4 linked regions of the Schizosaccharomyces pombe genome follow. Changing the gene in region 1 together with any one later gene gives a genetic interaction. Each region holds a gene or a part of one and is shown on either strand. Other genes may lie near its edges. The genes, in order: hsk1, mcl1, rif1 and swi1.

Region 1 (4,276 bases):
TGAAATAATGTTATGATTGCATCTAACAAAGCATTTACATGTGAGATACCATTCCAGTTAGAGTTAGTAGTTGGATTTTTTTTTCTTCCCTTAACAGTATTAGTGGATGACCGAATAACTGAAAGTTGATTTGAGGAAGAAAGGGAATTGACCGTGAGCTGAAATGCAATGCCTGTAGTTTCTAAATTCGTTTGAGGTACAGTAAAATCAGTAGCATTTGCGGAAATCATATCTTCAAGAATAGCGGATTCAGAGCTGATATTACTCGTGAGTAAATCATATACTTTATTCCTTACAGAGGAAGAGAGGTCAGCAAAGTGTCTAAACCATTATTGTTAGTTTGGTAAAATTGATATATAGTAAACCAAATGGCTTCCTTCTATTTGAATAACACAAAATAACAACTACTTACGAACATATAGCAAAGAGTTTTTCCAAGCAATCCTCGTCGAAACAAGAACTCGTTCCTAATAAAAGGGTATCAATGACGTCTAATTTTTCATTGTTAGTTATTGTGGAATCGATCATTTTCAATTTTTTTAAAAACCCAAATGTCCATACCGTTAACCACGGCTGTCAATCCAGCATTTTCACATTCAGCATAAATCGAGTCCAAGTCGGAATTTTCTTCATCATGAATGTATTTCTTTAATCTAGAAAGAAGATCCAACGACATTGAGGCCACTGAAAGCCGAATCTTTCTATGTTACGAATGAAATAAAAGATGGATTTGGCGTACTACATTCTAGTAGTCCTTGTAAACAATAACCCCACCTATATGTCCTGTGTGGGGGTCCATTTATACTTTCTTACTAACAAAAAAGAGCTACGGTTAGTCAAAATATAAAATAGGAGCTAGACTTAATTGTTGCTAACCACTTTAAGGATATAGAACGTGCTTTTATTAACTCATTTGTTTACATTAAAAAATAATATTTTAATTAACTTTTATTGAGCGTGCCACGTAAAAGCTATTGTTCTTTTTAGTACTTCTAATTAAATGTTTTGAAAAGAATTTAATATATTTTTTGAATAACGTTAGTTGTAAATTCTTTCTTGAGCTGTATTTCTGATATAAAAACTTATAATTTATTTTGGCGCATGTATCATTTTCAAGGTGATTTTCAAAATTATTATGAATGCAAATTTTGACGAGGTAAGCATTTGTGCTGTTTTTAGAATTTTAAAGTAATACACAATAAACTAAACAGAAAACCTATCGTAGTTTAACTAGGAATAAATTTCAAATTCAGGATAATTTTTTTATTTATTTTTAAATAACAGAAAAAAAAAACGTGTTTGAATACCATGGTTAATCATATTTACTCTCAATGTCCAATAAATAGTCAATTCTAGTTGTTTATGGTGGTTATTAACAATAACAAGAGCCCAAAGGATTTATGTTTTTTAAAGCAAGTCCTAAATTTAAAAAAAGATAAAGGACATGAAATCTTAATCTTTTCCATAAGTATACAAATATTATAGCAGAGTACTTTTTTTATTAAACAAAAGTTGGATTAAAAATGTATTTTTCTTGTTTGGAAGTAACAATGTCCCTCATTAGAAGAGCATTTTGCTTAACAATGTACAACTGGTGTTGAACCTGGAATCTGCAAATTCTTATATTCATGGAATGAGTTTGTGTTACACATTTTAAAAACTTGATTTTTTTGAATCTTAGTATTCGTTCGCGTGTTCGGTTTGAAGGTTTAAAATACGTGAAAATTTGTTTTTTCTTGGTTCCTTCCCTTGGCAGCATTTTACCATTTAATTGACGACTCTTTTAATTTTTTTTAAGTTATTATTTGGTTTAAAAATATATGAGTTAAACCGTTAACATGGCAGAGGCCCATATCACACTATCACCTAAAGTAACTCATGAACAACAAACAGATATTGATTCTGAATGTGAAATCACTGAGGTGGACGATGAAAATGTAAACGAAAACAAATCTCAAGAAATGATTCAAGATATCCCTGCACGAGACCGCGAAGAAATTGAAAATATCACAAGGACGTTCGTAGAGCTACAAGAGAACTATCGGCTAATTGAAAAAATTGGAGAAGGTAAACTTCAATTACCGTTTTTAGTACTGTTTTGAAACTATCTTGCTAATTCGTTTAGGTACGTTCTCCAGTGTATATAAAGCGGAAGACCTACATTATGGGAGGTATATTAATGATTGGGACATTCAAAGTGAAGTGTTAAAGGAATCTTCTTTTGGAAAAGAAAAAATTCCTGTTAATGAAGACAGCCGGAAACCGAAGTACGTTGCTATAAAAAAAATTTACGCGACAAGTAGTCCTGCTAGAATATACAATGAATTAGAAATCCTATATTTATTAAGGGGATCGTCGGTAATAGCCCCGCTAATAACTGCTTTAAGAAATGAAGATCAGGTACTCGTAGTTTTACCCTACTACGAGCATACTGACTTTCGTCAATATTATAGCACTTTTTCCTATCGCGATATGAGCATTTATTTTCGATGCCTTTTTCAAGCTATGCAGCAAACTCAGACTTTGGGAATCATTCATAGAGACATTAAGCCTAGTAACTTTCTCTTCGATGTTCGTACCAAGCATGGTGTCTTAGTTGACTTTGGATTAGCAGAGCGTTATGATGGAAGACAACAATCACATTCTTGCCGGTGCACTAATTCAAATGCGGCCGAATTAGCACATGATTTTTCGATTGCGCAGGAAACATCTCTTGGATACATAAAAAACGATACTCGACCAAGCAAACGGGCCAATAGAGCCGGAACTCGAGGATTTCGAGCACCTGAAGTATTGTTTAAATGCTCATCTCAATCACCCAAAGTTGATATTTGGTCTGCTGGGGTTATTTTGTTATCTTTCCTTACTAAACGTTTCCCCATGTTTAATTCAAAGGACGACGTGGATGCACTCATGGAGATAGCATGTATATTTGGAAAAAGCGAAATGCGCCAATGTGCTGCTTTACACGGTAAGAACGATCTAATGTCCCTTACGGAAGTGTTTGTGTTGATTTTTTTCGCTAACCTGCCAGGTTGTACGTTTGAGACAAATGTAAGCACGCTTACAGAAAAAAGAGTAAACTTTAGGAAACTTATTTTGTGGGCCAGTTGTGGTTCAGCCAGTATATACAAAGAAAAGCTTCGTCATAAACCAAGCCAAGAAGAGCGATTGTGCCTGGATTTTTTAGAGAAATGTCTTGAACTTGACTGTAACAAAAGGATTTCAGCTGAGGAAGCATTGGATCACGATTTCTTGTATCTCGATAATTTAGCTTACGAAAAGAAAGATGACGATACAGCTTTTGATAATAGCTTTGGAGAAACCTCTTTCGAGAAAGACGAAGACTTAACTGCTAAGCACTTATCCCATATCCTTGATTTTAAAGAGCAGGAAGAAACAGATGAACCTACTTCTTTATCAAAGCGGAAGCGAAGTATTGATGAAATTTTACCAAATGATGCTTTGCAGGATGGAGCTTGAGAAGATTTGCTGGCAATTTCTCATCAAGCAATCACTTATATTTGTGCATACATTTTCATTTACAGTATAAGCATTACTGTAATCATTGGGTATTAAAGTGAAAGCATTATTGTATGTCTATACATCGAAAATACCCTATGGAATTTTTGGGGTGCATTTTCAGTTACAAACATTAATCCATAATTAATTTTACCATAGCATAACGAACACATATCAGCAGGTGAGGCTTTTTCACTTACTGACTTAATTGAAATAAAATCTCTATACACTATTTGACCAGAGAATAACACTACAGATTGATCATACAACAATTATATTCCATCAAAGTATAGACGGATAAACGAATCAAACAAAATTAATTTTATTAAGCCACTAAGCAATCACAGGATGTTCTTAGGCAATGAGCTCAACGACACCACCAGCTTGCTTGATCTTCTCTTCAGCACGACGAGAGACATAACGTGTTTGAATGATGACGGGAGTATCAGGCAGACGACCCTTACCCAAAACCTTACCGTAACCAGATTGTAAGACATTAATAACGGGGGCAACCTCCGTGTTTTTACCAAGATACTTTTCACGAGTTTCGTTGGGAACCAAGGTCCAAAGACGATCCAAATTGACAGTAGGACGCCACAAAGGATTCTTCATGAGGTGGAATCGACGCATACCAACCTTACCAAAGTAACCAGGGTGATACTTATCAAAGTGACTACGGAGGTGTTGCAAACCACCGGCCTTACCACGACCACCGGGATGCTTCCTGTGCTTACCAATACGACCATGGCCAGCT
Region 2 (4,989 bases), on another chromosome or scaffold:
TTTTGGAAGTAACCCAGCTGTTTTCTGACTGGTCTTTTCTACTAGCACCCAACCCTAACCGTGGCGGCCTAGCTTGTAACGGTGGATCGTCATTTTTTTCATCGCTACTGACAGATGTATTTTCGTTTCCCAACCACGAATTGATTAAGTTTTTTGTGATGCTTATGGATGTTTGATATTTATTCAATAACACATCCGCACTCACTTTTTGTTCCATGCTAAAATTGTGTTTTCGTTTGCAGCTTGGCACTTTACAAAGTTGTACTGCACTTAGTGTCTGCAACTTTACGAACTGTAACGCACCCTAAGGCACTGAGCTTTGCAGTTTCTACATTAGATTTTATTTCATTTCAGAAAGGAAAAGAATACAAATTCCTTTGTGACTCTTTGTCATTTTAAAAAATGTTTCCACCTTTTCTTATGAATCAATTTTTTGTACCCCTGTGCAATTTCTAAATAGACTCGAAATATATGCCGAATATACTGACATATAAACATAGAGGTTATATGGTAAACAAAATGAAATGTGTTTATTAAATACAAAAATGAGAAAAAAATCAAAGTGCTAGATGCTTATATAAATGAATTTAGAAAGGAGCAAGATCGTGACAAAACTTCTGCATAGCTTTGCTTCAAACCCCTTTTGATTAGCTCAAGCTACTAATATGCAAAAAATAATGTTACATAAAAATTAAGACGTGAGGGTTTAGACGTTAGATAGTAGATTACCAATTTTTTCAGCAACATTTGTAAGGGAATGGTGGAGCGCAATCTTTTGAGCAGCAGCAATACTTGTTGTCCTTCTCAAAGTTTTTGTCAATTCATAGACACGTTCGATTCTTTCCTCGAGACAAGCCTTTTGAATAAGTTGCAACAAGGCTTTGTCAATGTTAGCTTCTAGTCTAGCAATGCTTATTTTTTCGTCCTCCGTAACATCGCCATCTCCTATGCTATCTTCCAATAAAGTCAAAAATAGTTTATTACGGAGTTGTAGTTCTTCTAAAACAGGAACAGATGTAGAAGCATCCGGATTGTTCGTATTACAAGGAATACGAAAGTCAAATTCTGTAAACATCGGACGAGGGAAATAGGGATATCGAGAGGCTCCTTTTAGCAATATACAGTGAAACTGATTATCGGCAACAGTTACAGGCCAATAAGACTCTTGCCGTGATTTGCGACGCTCCAATTCATTTGTATCTAAAACAGGGATCCACTTGGCTTGTCCTGGTATGCGCCAATGCATTAATACCAACAATACCCCAGTTGAATCGTAGATGTAAGGATCTCCAACATCCGAAAAGAAAACACTCTCTAACGTTCCTTGGGGTGGTAATGCAACCCCATCACCAGTTTGCAACATTTCATCACGAGAAATGTCTTCAATGGAATAAACAAGACGAGAATTTCCATCAGAGCTCAAACCATCGTTGGCGATGGTTATAATCGTATCCTGAAAAGATGAACAAGCTACAAATGGCAAGTGTTTACTCCTGTGAATGCTAATTGGAAAGCCTTGTCTTGAGAATACGCGAACATATCCAGCACTCGTACATACCAGTACAACGCTTGAGCTTAATGAAATTGTCACAGGACTTTCATTCTCCATGGGTAAAGCCATTGCCCATTCAGATTTACGCGACCAATCAACATGTGCTTTATAATAAATAACACCAGGTGAACTTTCCGTTGCAGGCGAAGCATACAAAGCACCTTCATGATCTAAGCATGCCATTTCAAATTTTTGGTCATCAACAAAGTGATATTTTCTATGAGTAGTTTCATCATGAAATTCAACCGTTATAGTGTTGTGTTCTGCATCTTGCTGTACAGTCCAGATAAACCCTACCAAGTTCAAACATAGATATCTTCTATTACCCTGCCATGGTGTACTTCCAGTATGAACGGGTTTATGTATTGAGGCTTGCAGTAAACGTCTTTTACTAGAACCATTCTCTATTGTTGTAGTTCTGTCGATCAACGCCTTCTGCTTTCTTTTCTTTGCAAGGTTTAAGTCGTTTTCATCAACCATATAACTATCACCATCTAGGTCCAAAGATGAATCCAATCCATCATGATTGATAAACTCATTTTCCTCGTTGGCAGAGTTCCCATCCAAATCATTGACGTTCTGACTTTGCTCATCGTCAGAACCAAAAAGATCATCAAGCTCTTTGGAAGTACGGTTTTTACTTTTTGACGAAGTCAAAGGCTTCGTAGGATCATTTTCTTCCTTCAATATTGATTTAGGAATGACATCCGGACATGAATACAAAATTCCCTGATTTGTAGTAAATGATAACACGTTTTCAAATGGCTGCCAGGCGAGTGCCACCACTGTACTATAGGGGAGCTCAACGACTACTTCATGACTTTGTGTATCCCAAATTAAAATGCCTCCTTTTTTAAATGAAGCAGCTATGTACATTCCATTACTGGACCAGGAGATATCTGTTACACCAGAATGATTCTCTTTTGGAAGAAGTTTGTACAATGGAAGCCAGTCATCAGGGGAAATAACTGATACAAAATGGTCGGTACTCGCAACTGCAAATGTCCCGTTTTTAGGATGCCAAGCCGCCTTTGAGCAAATTTCTGATTCTGCCTCTAAAGAGGCAATAGTGTTTGTTAAGAACTTGATGAGTTCACGAGTTTGGGTGTCATAAAAATACAAAATTCCATTGCAACTGGAAACTGCTAAAAAATTTCCGTTCGGGCTATAAGTTACATGTTTATTCGAAGCCTTAGCTGGACGAAGAGAGAAAATTTGTGAAGAATCAGTGGACGAAACCACTTTCACTGCTGTTTCACTATATTTGTTAGGCTGAAAACGACCAAGTAGAGCATTATACACTAAAAAAAACTTACTCACTAGCTATGGCAATCCAATTTCCATCTACTGAATATGCCACATCGCGAATAGGAAGAGTAGTACGCGCCAGCAATGTATGCTCGGTAGGAGAATCGATGGGATATACGCAGACAGTTGCATCTTCTGAACAAGTACAAAAATAATTTTCCTATATAAAAGTCATTAGCTCCAAACTTTTTTGAGGACCACTTACAGCAACTGCAATTCCTGTTATAGGATCTTGATGATTATCAATGGAGTCGGGTTCCTCATCAGAACCAACCTGAAATTTTCGGATTACTTGATTAGAACCGACCGTAAGAAGAAATTTCCCATCACGAGTATACGCTAGACGCGTCAGTCCATCTGTATGGGCATATCTAGGAACTAGCCTATTCCCTGCCATAATAGCTAGAGGAAGAGTTTGTATATGAGATTGGGACTAGTATGGCAATAGCGATACTTTCGTTAGCTAGTTACGCTATTTAATGTAAACAAACATTTAAATAAAAAATCTACCACGAAAGCACTATTGAGAAATTGCAAATGTTTGTCTACAATTTATTTTCATATGCAAGTACGATTGAAAATATGCAATCCATGCTTTTAATCATCTGCTAACAATTAGAAATTAATACTAAAGTAACTTATATGTGAGACTATAGGAATAATTTAACTTTAATCATTTCAGAGCTTTTTTTAATTACTCTGAAGTTGTATTTGATGTTCCATTAGAGCAGTTCTGTTAAAAAGTTTTGAAATGTCTGCTATAAATGTTCAAACAGCCGCACAGCAATATTCTAAATGGAGGAAAAATATGCAATTAGCTATTGTCTTTTAGTATTTTAATTAATGCTTACCATGACAAGCTATAAAACAGAATCTGCAGATAAGTCATGCTTGATTAAACCACAAAAAATCAACGACATGGAAATGGAATTGAGAAACCTAGTGGAGCCTCTCACAGGAAAATTAAAAAGAAGTTAAATAAATTAATCATACAATTAGATTTCGATCATTCATTTAATACTCGCAGTAATTATATGTATGTATTTTTTCAAAAAGTAATATGAAAATCGTTTTTGCACATCGTTAAAGTTTTATTCTGTATTAGAGTGATACACTATAAATGTTAACGCTGCTTTAACGACGCACAAAATACAGGCTATTGGCATACTCTAGGTTGTGAAATCTTTGCTTTTTTGTAGTTACGTCTGCCAAACAATTTACCATTCCAAGCAAGATTGGTAATCTGCTTGATCATGTCACAGTATGCTGTAGAACTGTGTGAGATTCTCGTAGAGGAATTTTTCGGTGATTGTTGCTCGGTAAGGATTCAATTGTATTTCTAAATCTGAAGTTGAGGTTGCAAAGTCTTTTGTATTAACCAATTTATTGTCAATTTAGGCAGTAGCTAGTGCACTTTTGAGGCATGGTCGTTTAACGATTCCCATGCTACAAAAACGGACTTCGTTGCCAGGACCAAAAATTCGACAAGCACTTGTCAGTTTAATGCAGCATCATATGGTTTTGTACGTTACGGTCATTGAAAATGTACGTGAAGTCACATATTATGAGACCCAATGGAAGGAAATTTATAACATTCTTCGCAAAGGTAAAGATGTATATTTGATATCTCAAAAATTAAACCAGGAGGCTGCCTCTGTGGTAAAATATCTTAGTACCCAAGGACGTGCACGTGTACTCGAAGTATTCAATGCTTTCGATAAAAAGGTTGATGGGAGTGATGAAGAAAGCCGTATGATGCAGAAAAATCTAACGGAATTGATTTACCAAAAGTTTTTGCTAGTAGTGCAACCGAGACATTTAATACCAGTAGGAGATCAGGAAATGCAACTCCGGATCAAGCACTTAGATCGCAGAAAGTCAGAAAACGTGTCTGAAATAAAAAAAAATAGAGAGGTTGATGATTCTGTCGCCTTGGAAATGTTAGAGCTTCGTGCAGCAGATATGTCAGAACTACAAGGACTTACCAGGAAGCCAAAGGAATCAATACCACATCCAACAAAAAGAAGGAAACGTGCTGTTGGCTCTGCTCCGTCTGTATCAACGGATTTGAATAATATATTAGACGATGATAATAGCATCCTTGTACCTGATCTATCCGCGCATGTTCG
Region 3 (6,533 bases), on another chromosome or scaffold:
GATATCTCTAGAATTACTAGTATTGTCATTAGGTTTTTCCTTGACATTAGTAAACTTGGCTAAAATTTACAAAATACCTGTTGACTAAGGGAGGCTTCCTGGTAAGACGATCCTAGAAAAAGGGTCAATTATAGATCGTGTAAAATTACAAATAATACCTTCTTTAATTGATCGGTTAAATTCATTGGCAAGCGCAGCAAGATAAGGTGATTGAAGCAATGCATTAAACAATGCAGAAGTTGTAATAGCTTTAGGGTTTCCAAAAACAGCACCCTCACAACCCTGAAAATTAAATGACTCTACTTGTATCCAAGGAATAATGCCTGATTGACTAGGAATTAAGTGAATTAAAAAATTGCCCAATGTCACGATACCTCCTCTTAAAGATGTTATCCTTTTTTCAGTAAAACTAAAAATCACAATCAATATTGTGCTGATAAATTGAAACATACTTATTTAAGTCCGAAATGCTCTGAGACGAAAACTCTGCTTCAATGTAAAACTCTGTATCGGATAGCTTGCATCGAATTGGATGTTCGTATCGTATATACTGAAGTTTAAATATAGTCAGAATTGGTTCGAAAGATAGAAGATAAAGTATAATACCTCAAATATTTGTAAAGGCTGACATTTAAATACACGTATCGGAAGGACATCTGCGTTTTTGATCAAATTCAATAGTCCATTCTCAAGCCAAGGATGTTTTAAGCAATTTGACATTGCACTGTTTAACGCAGCTAACTTTTATATAAAAATCAACTTTTTTTAATAAGTAACAGTGCTGACTGAAGTCTGTTGATATTTAATCGTCTACTTTTTTTCTTGAAAGCAAGGTCAGCAGAACACTGCATTCATCATTTCCTCAAAACAAAATAATTGAAATATTATCATCAACTCCAAGGACTTGGTTCTTCTAGTTTAGTTACTGTCAAAAGCACTTTCAATCTAGATTTTGGATAACAACTTTTCAGTATTCCAAATCTTTAGAAGTTACTACTCATGTATTTAGTAATGGTTCATCCAAAAATTTATAAGAGAAGAATCAAATAATAGCAGGTTGCTGTATCTCCCATTAACAAAATTGACTTACTTCAAAGGAATTGCTGTAACCTTCTACCCCAGACGACAAAACTTGAAAAATTAGGCAAGAATTTTCTTTTGCTTAGAACTGTTTTATAAAATTTTGGTGATAAGTTAATAAAGGGTGGAATGAATTGGCTTAAGAATGTACTGAGTTATTTAGTTACTGCACTTATTACTACAAGAATTTTAACCACGCATTTTAAATGTGCGGATATCAAACATACTAAAGATTGAAGCAATTACCGGACATTTATTTATAAAAGATCAACAATACAACCAATCTGCTTTTCAATTTTATTCTTTATACTACTTCAATTTGCTGCTGCTAAGTCTAAATTGGTGTACAGAAATAAGTAAAAAAAATTTCATAATTGAAAGAATAAATTAGCTTTTTTCAGTGTTGTTAAAGATCTCAATAGCTTGGTACCGTGCTGAACAGTGTTTACATCTATAACTCAACTCACATTTAGCCTACTACCACCATTTTGTAAATAAACTTATTTGTGCAATTTTTTGGTGCGATCGGTCCCATGAAGCTAAAACATTTTTAAAAGCATAACAGCTGATGTTGCGATGACAAAAGAAATTGCTGTGAAGGAGGCTTCAAATATGCTTCTACAAGAACCTTCAACCCCATCATCACAAGCTGTAGGACTGAGCAGCTCACCTAGTAGTTCGATTCGTAAGAAGAAGGTAAATTTTAGTAGTGAACTAGAAAATTCCCCCGGTGGAAATCGACCATCTTTCGGTTTACCCAAACGAGGTATCTTAAAAACTTCAACACCTCTATCTAGTATCAAACAACCAAATTTTCAATCCTTTGAAGGAAATGAATCTGAAAAAGAGACTTCCTTGCAAGAACTACAATCCTCGTTTTGTTCCGGAATAGAAAATCTTCAACATGTTGAAAAATCTGCTCGAATCGAAACATACTCAAAACTGTCTTCCTTTTTGAAAATCTATACACCAAGTCTTCCCGAGGATCCAATATTCCCCCTTTTAAATCAACTTTGCAATTTTTTATTATCGGATAGATGCTCTAACAATTCAGAGGGTAGTCCCGATTTTCAATTGAATACTCAAGCAAACAAACTTCTCAGCATACTTCTTTGGCATCCAACTATTTCTTCTCACATTCAACCAGAAACTGCCACAGTCTTCATTGAGCAGTCGCTGAATTTTTTAGAAGGACCAAAGTTAACTAAAGCACTCGCGGCTCAGCATTTGCATCTTCTTTCTTGTCAAAAATGCCCTCTTTCCATTCACCCTTTATGTAATCGTATTTTAGACGTGTGTTTTAACATTTCATTCCCTTCCCTTGTTATAGGTCAGGAGCGATTAGCTGTCTTAACAAAAATTTTAAGCCAATTTCCACTAGAATTTTCGCGTCGTGTAGTTGATTGGGCTCCTTATCTGCTAGCTTGTTTAGTTGATGCCTCAAGGCCTATCCGTGAGAAAGCGTTATTACTTGCTTTGGACCTGAGCAAACATTTGTATCACGACAAGTTAGTCGCACGGACTATCCTCGCTAATTTTAGAAGTGATATTAAGGGAACTGCATTTGTTCTTATCATGACAGAGCAATTTGAGAAGCTTGTCATTGAAGAAGACGACGGTGTCTATGTGGCTCATGCCTGGGCTGCCATCATATCAGTTTTGGGAGGTGCAAGAATTTCCTCATGGGAATACTTTAACACATGGCTTAAAATTATTCAGCTTTGTTTTAACAGCATGAATCCTTTAACTAAGTGTGCAGCCCAAACATCTTGGATCCGTTTAATTCATGAGTTTTCTCTTTCTGAAACCCTCACACAAGCTACCAAGCGGTTAACTCTTTTGTGTCAGCCTATTTCCATGGTTCTAGGTTCAAGGAATTTGCCAACAGTAAAGAATGCAGCAATGACTACTTTGATTGCTTTAATATATGCATGTTTGAGGCCCGGAATCTCTGATGCCATGCTCTCTTTACTGTGGGATTCAGTTATTGTCAACATACTTGAAAAGTGTGCCTTGAAAAACGAGGTTACTATTTTTGAGTCTTCTAACATACTTTTGGCTCTCTTTAACACGCTGTCTAATGGAGTTTGGAAAGATGACCGCTTGGTTTGCCGTGAATCGGTAGAAGCAAAAGAACTTCCAAAGCTCAATCCTGTTTGGGTTCGTGCTAATTGTAGTCGGACAATTGAACCGGTCAAGACTTTACTTTTATTAGCCAAACCAGATCATACTGTTAAAACCACTACGCCTGCTCGTAAACAGCATATACGAGGTCTTAGTTATGAACAAAGTTCGTCTGTTTGGAGTACTTATATAAAGTGTTTGGCCAGTGCTGGACAGAAGGAAATTAAAAGGTCTGTAGAGACTGGCCGAGCTATATGCTGCATATGCTCATCGCTTCACAAATTTTTATATTCGAAATCTATTCGTAAAGATGAACTGTATGTGGAAAGAGTCTCGAGGTTTGCATTAATGGTTAAGTCTGCCATTGAAGCTTTTGGTATTAATACATTCGTCGAAGCATCATATCTGGTTTCCGATAATCAGCTTGTTTTAATAGATCAGACAAAAGCAATCGATAGTTATGATCATGTCCCAATTAGCCCCTTAATTTACTTGCTCCACTCTCTCGCTCTTTTAACAAACGGCACATTATTTTCGACTGTACATGCCGCTTACAGCAGTATTCTGTCATCCATTGAAGAATATCATTTAAGATTTGGTTTAAAACTTATGTTACTTTGGGATTGTGTATCTCCTTTGAGTGACGATGGAACTTTAGTGCTTGCGAGAGTTCTCGTTTCCCATGAAGTATCTAGGTTGACCTCGGAGGCTCTGCTTTCAGAACTTAAAAGTCGGAATGGAAATAATTCAGTAGAAGAAGGATTTTCAGAAGAGGAGCGATCCATATTACTTAAACTATTAAGTTGGAATGTGAAGTTTTGCAGTATTAGTGATGCTGGTAGTGTAAACAATCTTCTTCAACAATACTTTACCGCTATTTATAAATTTGAAGGATGTGGTAGCGTTTTTCCTTTTGTCGTTGATCCTTTTACTACAATCCTCGATGATGTATTAAGTTTTGAAGCAAATAAAGTTTATTCATTTGCCATATCTTTGATGAAAGTTTCTACTTTTGAAAGTTGCACAAAGGAGCTACCACCTGTAACATTACCTGAAAATATCAGACAACACCTGGATAGTTACAACCACATGGTCGAATTGTATAATACACTGTTACAAAGGTTATCAAGTTCCGATCAAGTAGATCTACAGTGTCGCTATCTTCATGAGCTTTCTGAATTTATAAAGAAAATACCCAAAGAGTTCATTTTTCATACTATTTGTAAGTTGTCTAAAGGTTTGATACCTTGCTTCCTTATGAACGCTTTTCCACAATTAGAGAAATCTACCACATTACAAAAATCATGTACCAACTTTTGTATATTAATTTTGCAGCTGCTACTAAATTCCACTGCTACAGCTTCTAATATTTTAGAATCTCTTTCTCCGCTGTTGACATCAGGTCTTAAAAGTATTTCAAAAGAGGTGGTCCTTGCTGCTATCAAGTTTTGGAATCAAGTTTTTGGTAAATTTGAATCGGAAGAATACCCTATTGAACTACAAAAAACAATATCGTATCTGAGCAAAACTTATATTATTCTTTTACCGTTTCAGTCACTATGTCCTGGTGGTAAGCAAGCCAACCATCAATCGAGCGAAAAGATGTCGGATATATTAAAAGGAGTTGATGAGTTGCGATCTGTCTCTAAGAATGGTCCTTATGCTTCTTCACAAGATAAAGGAGAAAAGACTACCGAATTCTCTGGTCCTGGTAAACCTAATAACGACAATTACATACAGATTGCTTCTGTGCAAGAATTAGACGACAGCTCAAAAGGGAAAGCAGGAAAAATGCCAGCGTCTAAGAAAAATAAAAGACAAAAAGGTGATGTTAAAAAAATTGATGAAACAAAAAATGAAGCTACTGATATGGAAGAGTCTTTGACAACACCGTCTGGCAAGGTCAATAAGGAAGTAATTGTAGACGATACTTCTTTAAGAGATGAAGCAATTGTACCTGATAAAGCTATAGATGTGGCAGACAACTCTAACGCTCTTTTAAAGGAAAATATTTCAAGCCAAAGCAATAGGAAAGCTGATAATAATGGAACGCCGAGTGTCAATAACTCCTTCACTACAGCAAATAATGATGAATGTTCAAAAGAAAATTCTCAGATAGAACCAGAAGGGCAAACTGCCTCTCGTGAAGGTGTTCTATCTACTCCTCGCAGTACTAGAAAGAAACGAAAACTTGGACGTAAGAGCCAATCTTCCAACGTGAATAAGGAAGTTGCAATTAGCGAAGTGTCCGCAACCTTGGAAAATGTGGAAGTCATAGAACGACATGGGATTTCAGAACAGGGACAGAATCTGGACGAATCTGCTTGTGTACTTACTAATGAAAGTAGTTTGAGCCAAACTGAAATACCAGAGGAAAAAACCGAGAATGAAACAACTGCAGTTAACGGATTTGAAAATTCCAAGAAACGACAATTTTCGAGCTTACTTTCAGGGTCCATTGATACAAACAATGAATCCAACAAAGTTTCATCTGTAGAGTTTGATAAATCTGGTCCTCAAGACATTATACAATCAATGACGGAAGCCACTTTTGAAATCGAAAAGAATATACAAGATTTAAAATCGGAGGAAGTTCAGAAGCTTAGTGATTTGTTGATGAGATTACAGAGAGCTATTTTATCTAGAATTGCTTGATTATTCAACTCATGGGTACAGGAATTACGGACCGGCATTGGGGTCAATTTAGTCATAAATCAATCTTATTAATGGGGTTCATACTGGCATTTAATATATAACATATGTATATAGATAAGAACTTTCTAGTTTCAAGAGGATAGAGGTATGCGTATATGTGATGTGTCCAAATATCTTATATCATCAAACCAATGATGTTGTAACGTCTCTTCAATAGTAATGCGATCATGCACATTTCTATCAAGCATTCGACAAATTAAATCGACATTATCTTTCGATAGTTCAAAAGGAATTCTAAGTTTGGCGTCCAAAATCTCTTCGATCTAATAATTAGTTAGCATACCATTATAATAATTCTCTTACGTTATAATAAGGGTTTTCCCGATAAACTATCGTGTATAATAAAATACCCAAAGCCCAAATATCCTGTTCTTTACCGAGATATTTTTCACCTCTTAGTAGCTCCGGAGCAGCAAAACCAACTGTACCCCGAAATGTATCAAAAGGCCCGTTTTTCGTAAGGCTCGAACTACCGAAATCAATGAGTCTTGCACATCCGTTTCCTTCTAGAATTACGTTTTCATCTTTGATGTCTCGGTGGATTATGTCAAAAGAATGCAGATGGGCAACAGCTAATGCGATTTGGAAAAATATAGCCTTGCTCTCTTTCTCAG
Region 4 (7,732 bases), 2.3 Mb from region 1:
AAATTCAGGAACATGGGACTCGGCTTTGAGTTGTTACGAAATTATTATTCAAAAGGATCCTGAAAATAAAAAGGCGAAAATCGGTTTGCTTAACAGCATGCTGCAATCGGGGCATTATGAATCTCTTGTTTTGAGTTTAGATTCTTTTATAATCAATGACAACCACGAGTATTCGAAGATGTTAAATTTGGGTATTGAAGCTTCATGGCGTTCGCTATCTATTGATTCGTTAAAAAAGTGTCTTTCAAAAAGCAACTTGGAATCTTTCGAAGCTAAATTGGGTAGCATATTTTACCAATACCTACGGAAGGATTCTTTTGCTGAATTGACGGAGCGGCTGCAACCCTTGTACGTTGATGCTGCTACAGCAATTGCAAACACAGGCGCCCATTCAGCCTATGATTGTTATGATATTTTATCTAAGCTGCACGCAATTAATGACTTTAGTAGGATTGCTGAAACTGACGGAATTGTTTCCGACAATCTTGATATTGTTCTTCGCCGTCGGCTTAGCCAAGTAGCTCCGTACGGTAAATTCAAGCACCAAATCCTGTCCACTCACTTAGTTGGCTATGAAAAATTTGAAAACACGAAGAAAACTGCTGAAATATATCTCGAGATTGCAAGAATATCTCGAAAAAATGGTCAATTTCAAAGAGCCTTCAATGCCATCCTCAAAGCAATGGATTTAGATAAACCGCTAGCAACAATAGAGCACGCACAATGGTGGTGGCATCAAGGGCAACATCGTAAAGCTATTTCTGAATTGAATTTTTCGCTTAATAACAACATGTTTGATTTGGTTGATGAGCATGAAGAAAGACCTAAAAATCGTAAAGAAACTTTAGGAAATCCACTTAAAGGAAAAGTGTTCTTGAAACTTACAAAATGGCTCGGAAAAGCTGGCCAACTGGGATTGAAGGATTTGGAGACGTATTATCATAAAGCGGTAGAGATTTACTCAGAATGTGAGAATACGCATTATTATCTTGGCCATCATCGAGTTTTAATGTATGAAGAAGAACAAAAGCTCCCAGTTAATGAACAGAGCGAACGATTTTTAAGTGGTGAGTTAGTAACTCGCATAATTAACGAATTTGGTCGATCTTTGTACTATGGTACAAATCATATATATGAAAGTATGCCAAAATTGCTCACACTGTGGCTTGATTTTGGGGCCGAAGAACTTCGCTTATCTAAAGATGACGGCGAAAAGTACTTTCGTGAACACATTATCTCTTCGAGAAAAAAATCTTTGGAACTTATGAATTCGAATGTTTGTCGCCTTTCTATGAAAATTCCTCAATACTTTTTTCTGGTTGCATTATCCCAAATGATATCCAGAGTATGCCATCCAAATAATAAAGTTTATAAAATTTTGGAACATATAATTGCAAACGTTGTAGCATCTTATCCTGGGGAGACGCTATGGCAATTAATGGCAACAATAAAATCGACTTCTCAAAAGCGCTCGCTTCGTGGAAAAAGCATTTTAAATGTTTTACATTCTAGGAAGCTTTCTATGTCTTCCAAAGTTGATATAAAAGCACTCAGTCAATCTGCAATTCTCATTACTGAAAAGTTAATCAATTTGTGCAATACAAGGATTAACAGTAAATCTGTAAAAATGAGCTTAAAGGATCATTTTCGGCTTTCTTTTGATGATCCGGTAGATTTAGTCATTCCTGCTAAATCATTTTTAGACATTACTTTACCAGCTAAAGATGCTAACAGAGCTAGTCATTATCCATTTCCAAAAACTCAGCCTACTCTGTTGAAATTTGAGGATGAGGTGGATATAATGAACTCTCTTCAAAAACCAAGAAAAGTGTACGTTAGAGGTACGGATGGCAACTTATACCCATTCTTGTGCAAACCCAAAGATGATCTTCGTAAGGATGCTAGATTGATGGAATTTAATAATCTTATTTGTAAAATATTGAGGAAAGATCAAGAAGCGAACAGAAGGAACTTGTGTATTAGAACTTATGTTGTTATTCCTTTAAATGAAGAATGCGGATTTATCGAATGGGTAAATCATACTCGTCCATTTAGAGAAATTTTGTTAAAAAGCTATAGACAGAAAAACATTCCCATATCATATCAAGAAATCAAAGTTGATTTAGACTTTGCACTGCGAAGTCCTAACCCTGGTGATATATTTGAAAAGAAAATCTTACCGAAATTTCCTCCAGTTTTTTATGAGTGGTTTGTTGAATCTTTCCCAGAACCAAATAATTGGGTTACTAGTAGACAAAACTATTGCCGAACTTTAGCAGTAATGTCAATAGTTGGCTACGTTTTGGGTTTGGGAGATCGCCATGGCGAAAACATATTGTTTGATGAATTTACAGGTGAAGCTATCCATGTCGATTTCAACTGTCTTTTTGATAAAGGTCTTACTTTTGAAAAACCTGAAAAGGTGCCGTTCAGATTAACTCATAATATGGTAGATGCAATGGGTCCGACAGGTTATGAAGGGGGTTTCAGGAAAGCTAGCGAAATAACGATGCGGCTTCTTCGCTCAAACCAAGATACATTGATGAGCGTACTAGAGTCTTTCCTACATGATCCTTTAGTCGAGTGGAATAGAAAGAAGTCGTCAAGCAAGTACCCGAATAATGAAGCAAATGAAGTTTTGGATATAATTCGCAAAAAATTTCAAGGCTTTATGCCAGGGGAGACGATACCTTTATCTATTGAAGGGCAAATTCAAGAATTGATCAAATCTGCTGTCAACCCAAAAAACCTGGTAGAAATGTACATTGGTTGGGCTGCTTATTTCTAGCATTTTACTAACAAAAATTTCAATGAACAAGCTACCCATTATTAAACTTATGATTTGAATCGAAGATATTTTATTTATTAATCCGATGAAGAATTCTCGCTGAGTTGTTCAATTTCTTGTAATTTTCCTTCCATTTCTAAATCGTCGATTCGCTTAAATAGGGCACTGGCTTTTTGTGCATTTTTCTCTCGTAAAGCAGCTTCTGATTGAAAAAAAGCTATATCTGTTTCTGAGTCATCATCCGAATCAACAATATATTTTGCAGATCGTAAATGGTTTTCCTTTTTCTTTCGAGTTGTATGGTCAATAATAGTTTCGTTAGTTTTCATCTTTTTACGTTTTCTGTCAGTAATCTTATTTAACGCTTCTCGACGATTGGCGAAAGTTATAGGATCATCTGCTTCAAATTCAATTTCTTCGTCAGATGTTTCACCCTCACTACTTGATGGTAAACGAACATTTCCTCTTTGCTTCCTCACTAATAAATCTTCGGGCTTGGTGCCTTCAAACGTCGGCGGATCATCAGTAAACCTTCTCAACAACATGGCATGCTCAACAAGTTCATCAATTATAACAGAATTTGGTAATTTCCATAGTGCTTGAACGTCTATATTGTTATCTGATTCTTCGAATCCACATAATTCTAATAATAGACGAAATTTTCCGTCTTTCAAAAGGGCCGTATTAAATGAATCTGTGTCTCCTTTCAAATTCTTCCCCATTCTTTCACCATCATTTCCACCTTCATTTATATATTTGTTCTCGTCAGCTAGCGTTATTAGCTTTCTTTCTGAAATGAGGCAATTAAGTTGAACTTTCAATTCATCTAATAAATCACTTTTGTTTTCATTTATAAGGCATGCAACAACGGCAGCCACCTTTTCCAAATGTGATAAGCCAGGCACCGTCTCGTATAACGGGCCTTTTCTCGAACCATGAATAGAGAAAAGTGGACTTTTTCCATATTCCAGATAATAAAATGTGTCGGTTAATTTTGGGAAAGGCAACTCAATAAAAAGTGCTGGTACATCTTTTAATGCATCTGAAAGCTTTCGCATATAATATACAAAAAATTGTTCAAAATCCTGTCTTGCTGAATTTGTAGTAGAAAAATAGACATGGTCATTAAACATTTTGTCCAGAACACGTAGGAAATCGAGACGATACAAATAAACATGGCATTTTTGCTTCACGAAAATGCGGTAAAAAAAGGAAATAGCCCTATGAATTTGTTTTGAATCCAGATCTTGGTAACATTGAAGGAACAGCACGAAACTATCAATACATCCATTATCACAGTACCTAGACTCATATCTGCCGAAATCAAACAGACGGTCCTCAACGGCTGCATTAGCATTAATCAAGCTGCTTTCTTCATCTTCATCCGATTCCAAGACATTGCTATCAACAGATTTCTGATTTCTCCTTCTCTTTTTCACATAGAGATATTGTTTAGCACTGCTAAATTTCTCAAGCTCCTTTAATAGCACTATAGTTAGCTCAGTTATTGCATCTAAATACCCAAAGGACTGAGTTTTAAAATGCTTTAAAGCGCTATAAACAAGTAAAAGAATTTCCTCTTGGTAAAAGATATTGCTTAGTAGATTATCGGCAATTCTTTGGTAAATTTCTGAGGAACAAAGTGTCATACTTCGAAGAGTGAAAAGTAATTGAGTCATCGAAAGCATGGATGCTTGGAAGGTGCTCCATTGTTTCATTTCAAAGGATTCTACCATTAACCTGTTGTGCATAATCAAAGCTCGTTGGTCAAAAACGGAGGCTGCTAAGCCAAAACTATAATCATTAGAGTAAATTTCTTCTGTTTTTTTTGGTTTAGACGAAAATCTCATGAATTCCAAAAAAAATGACTGAACGTATAATAATTGCATTTTATGAATTGGAAGCACACGAGGATCTTCTCTTTCCAAGTCTTTTAAGAGAGACTGAAATAATGGATTGAATCCAGCTTCCAAAAATTCGACAGCAAAGTTCCTTAATGCAGTACCTGCCTCGGTATTGATAAAGAACGATTTGTTTATGTCATCCTAATATTGTTAGAATAGAATAGTTGAATTGGAAAAAAAAATTTAAACAAACATCGTGTTTAACTAAGTACATACAAAATGTTTTCGACGTGTTCCTCGTTTTCGAAAACGCTTATGAGAGTCAAGCTCATCAAGGCCGTCGGTTTTTATATTTTGGCTAGCAATAGTAAATCTTCTGTCTTCAGTTTGAACAGAAAGCATGGTTCCAAATCTATTATGCCTCGTATGTGCATTTCGTTTCAAATAGCGATTTTGGGTCGACTCTTTGAGGAGTAAGCTATTAAGTTCGGTTTGAGAGTTAGTCAATGAGGCATCAGAGAAAAGGGCTGATGGCTTACAACCTCTGATCAAGTTGTAGACTATTTCTAATATGTAAACATCAAAATGCTCAAATTCATCGAGATTCGAGACCAGTGTGACAATCAAATCTAATATATGAGCTTTCGCAAACGAGATAATTGTTTCATTTTTTGTTTTTAATTCATCGATTTGAAGAATGTTTCGAAATAGTAACAGCACTATCCTGATTATTCCCTTGTCTCTAAGTGTTCTGGATTCTGCGGGAGTACTTAAGGGCTTTAGTAAAACAGCTAAAATGGCGGATAAAACGCTCCCCTTCTTGTAAGATAAAATTGAATTTTTATAATTTGATTGAGCTTGACGCAGATTATAGAGAACATCAACATTTTCTCTGAATGTTTCATGCTCAGTCTCCAAAGGCCATGTTAATGGTACAAGAAGCTCAACACAAGCTAAAGCGATACGCCAGTTTCTGTAATTAGTAATGTCTTTATCCCAGTCAGAGAGTATTGGACATATATCATTAGTTACCAACTGTAAGCTCGAGAGCAAAGATCGAATTTGCCAAACTTTGTACTTTTCATCGACTACTTGAAGATAGCGCTTCAGATCCTTTAGGCAAGCCAAAGCTTCATCACCAAGAACGTACACTTTTTCATCGTCTGAATAGTCAAATCCTCCAATGGCAGAAACAATGCCTTGAATCACCTCATCTAATTCCATTCAAGTTGATTTGTTAAATCAAAAGCTCTCAAGTTCCTTTTTTTTGTATTGTCGGTATGCGTCGATAAATAAACCAAATTTAAGAAATTAAATAAATTTTAATAATTAAGCGATATTAATTATGTTCATGAATAATCGTATTCTTTTAAGATAAGTAAATTTGATTGTAGATACGTGAAGAGGGGTGGTGACAGTAAACAATGAATAATAAATTTTTAAAACAATATTTAACTTTTCAAAATAACTTGGATTTTTAAAAAAATGTGTGTAAAGTAAAACACTTTATAATTTAAATCGCATTAAAATGGCATTCAGTATTATATTATAAAATTCGATAATATGGACTCAACAAAACGAATTTGCTACCTAACTTGTACAATGCATAATTAGAATTTAGTTTCAATAATTTTCACAATTTCAGATGTAGAAATTTAGAGTTTATTATTTTCAGAATGATTAAGCAGCAAATCTTTAATAACAATATAAAGAGATGCATTCTCTACTACAAAATTCTAAAAATTCTGCGTCAAATTCAACATTTCCTCTATTTTGTAAAATTGTAAAACAACGTAATAAATTGTTACAGGACTCATTCATAAAGACTATTTACACTTTATTTAATATAGAATATATATATGATGCGGCAGAAAAGCAATTTGAACGTTTGGGACTGTCACCTACCAGAAACTACACCAGCCAATATAGCACAAGCATAGGTTCTCTATAGAGGTTGCTTGTAAAATCAGCTTCTCTACTTGACTTGGTACATCCAATTGCTGTTGGGGTTTGAAATCCCGACCAGTAAGTTTATTGGACACACGATTAAGAACGGTTATAGCTCTTTGATTGAGTATCTCGGGTTTTTGACGTTCTTCAAGTGTAATTCCTTCTTCGTTTAAGCGTTTCCGGTGTAAACCATCAATTGTCTCACCGAGAAGTGTATTAGGTTCGTTAGATTGCTTTTCATCGATAGAAGGTGAATATGCAGGAGCAAGGCGCCAGTTAATAAGAGGATCGTAAACGAAAGCTTCTAAAACTGCCATCACAGACTCCTTATTAGTACGAAGAACTCGCATAACATGTTCGCATGTTATCCGGAACGTCCCCTCTATACCACTAACTTCCATTGCGTTAACAAGCATTCGCGTAAGGCGGAAAGGAATCTTCTCGGGAAACTTTTCTCGATGCATTGCTACTTCAAAACAATCTCCAAAATCGATATGGATGATATTACCTGTATACCTGTCCAGCATCAAATTGGAAGGATGACGATCGCCCAAACCTAAGATGTACCCTACCATTGACATCACCGCAAGAGTACGAGAATAGTTAGTTCGCCTATTAAGCCAAGCTTCTGAGCTACGACTCTTCAGCCATAAAACGCGGTATAAATCCTGCCCCGTAGTACTAAGTAGGGCATATTCAAAGACTTCAACTTTCTGAAGGAGAGTGAGACGATCGTAATCTGGAGCCATCTGAATGATCAACCTATGTTCTATGTTGAGTAAAATCTTTCTGCTTTCTCTGTAGTCACGAATTAAGACATGCAAAGTATCGCTATCCAAAACCCAGCCTAAAAGGCCTGAATCCGGTGATAAAGGAATCACTGGATACCTTTGGATTGAAAGTAAGCGCTTAAAAGTTTCCGGGTCAGCTAGTAACAGATTGTTACAAAGCCCAAATAGCTGCATAACACGTTCATCTTGTCTGATGTCCTCGTGACCCTTTAAAACATATTGATAATCTTTTCCATCACTGCCTTTAATACTCAGTCGTCTCGGACGTTGCTTAGATGTTATCACGTTGAATGTAGGGTAAAACTTTACAATTCTTATAACAGGTTTCCCGCTAACGTATGTTCCCGGAACAGCTAACT

What was found.
Region 2: mutations in hsk1 (region 1) and mcl1 are lethal when combined (synthetic lethality), as found in Schizosaccharomyces pombe (3 studies listed by BioGRID, with this or other methods).
Region 3: of hsk1 (region 1) and rif1, a mutation in one rescues a mutant of the other (synthetic rescue), as found in Schizosaccharomyces pombe (3 studies listed by BioGRID).
Region 4: mutations in hsk1 (region 1) and swi1 impair growth when combined (synthetic growth defect), as found in Schizosaccharomyces pombe (3 studies listed by BioGRID, with this or other methods).

What each region holds. Positions count from the first base shown.
Region 1 is NC_003423.3:3,196,538-3,200,813, reverse strand, and holds hsk1 (Dbf4(Dfp1)-dependent protein kinase Hsk1), read left to right. Parts: upstream 1-1,612; 5' UTR 1,613-1,838; coding exon 1,839-2,067; exon of another isoform or gene 2,068-2,125; coding exon 2,126-2,971; exon of another isoform or gene 2,972-3,034; coding exon 3,035-3,483; 3' UTR 3,484-3,754; downstream 3,755-4,276. Other genes in the region: condensin complex non-SMC subunit Cnd1, read right to left, coding at 1-321, 413-491, 562-676; rpl2801 (60S ribosomal protein uL15), read right to left, coding at 3,877-4,276. UniProt on the Schizosaccharomyces pombe protein: Required for G1/S transition. Plays a role in DNA replication checkpoint signaling through regulating rad3 and cds1. Involved in the maintenance of mitotic chromosome structures during S phase through regulating the function of rad21.
Region 2 is NC_003424.3:3,282,489-3,287,477, forward strand, and holds mcl1 (DNA polymerase alpha accessory factor Mcl1), read right to left. Parts: upstream 3,265-4,989; 5' UTR 3,258-3,264; coding exon 3,066-3,257; exon of another isoform or gene 3,021-3,065; coding exon 2,869-3,020; exon of another isoform or gene 2,811-2,868; coding exon 707-2,810; 3' UTR 516-706; downstream 1-515. Other genes in the region: SPOM_SPAPB1E7.01C (uncharacterized protein), read right to left, coding at 1-217; DNA-directed RNA polymerase III complex subunit Rpc82, read left to right, coding at 4,114-4,179, 4,259-4,989. UniProt on the Schizosaccharomyces pombe protein: Has a role in regulating DNA replication complexes. Acts as a regulator of post DNA replication initiation. Associates with chromatin during G1 and S phases of mitosis. Required for the transcriptional repression of the outer repeats of the centromeric region.
Region 3 is NC_003424.3:2,764,714-2,771,246, forward strand, and holds rif1 (telomere length regulator Rif1), read left to right. Parts: upstream 1-1,559; 5' UTR 1,560-1,656; coding exon 1,657-5,859; 3' UTR 5,860-5,990; downstream 5,991-6,533. Other genes in the region: tpz1 (telomere-protecting protein), read right to left, coding at 1-39, 78-112, 159-409, 453-550, 607-720; serine/threonine protein kinase Ppk6, read right to left, coding at 5,991-6,182, 6,223-6,533. UniProt on the Schizosaccharomyces pombe protein: Negatively regulates telomere length. Appears to play no role in transcriptional silencing of telomeric loci.
Region 4 is NC_003423.3:908,738-916,469, forward strand, and holds the start of swi1 (replication fork protection complex subunit Swi1), read right to left. Parts: upstream 6,043-7,732; 5' UTR 5,857-6,042; coding exon 4,909-5,856; intron 4,893-4,908; exon of another isoform or gene 4,834-4,892; coding exon 2,866-4,833; 3' UTR 2,789-2,865; coding exon of another isoform or gene 1-2,788. Other genes in the region: ATR checkpoint kinase Rad3, read left to right, coding at 1-2,788; TORC1 serine/threonine protein kinase Tor2, read right to left, coding at 6,534-7,732. UniProt on the Schizosaccharomyces pombe protein: Forms a fork protection complex (FPC) with swi3. FPC coordinates leading and lagging strand synthesis and moves with the replication fork. It is required for programmed fork-pausing which is necessary for mating-type switching.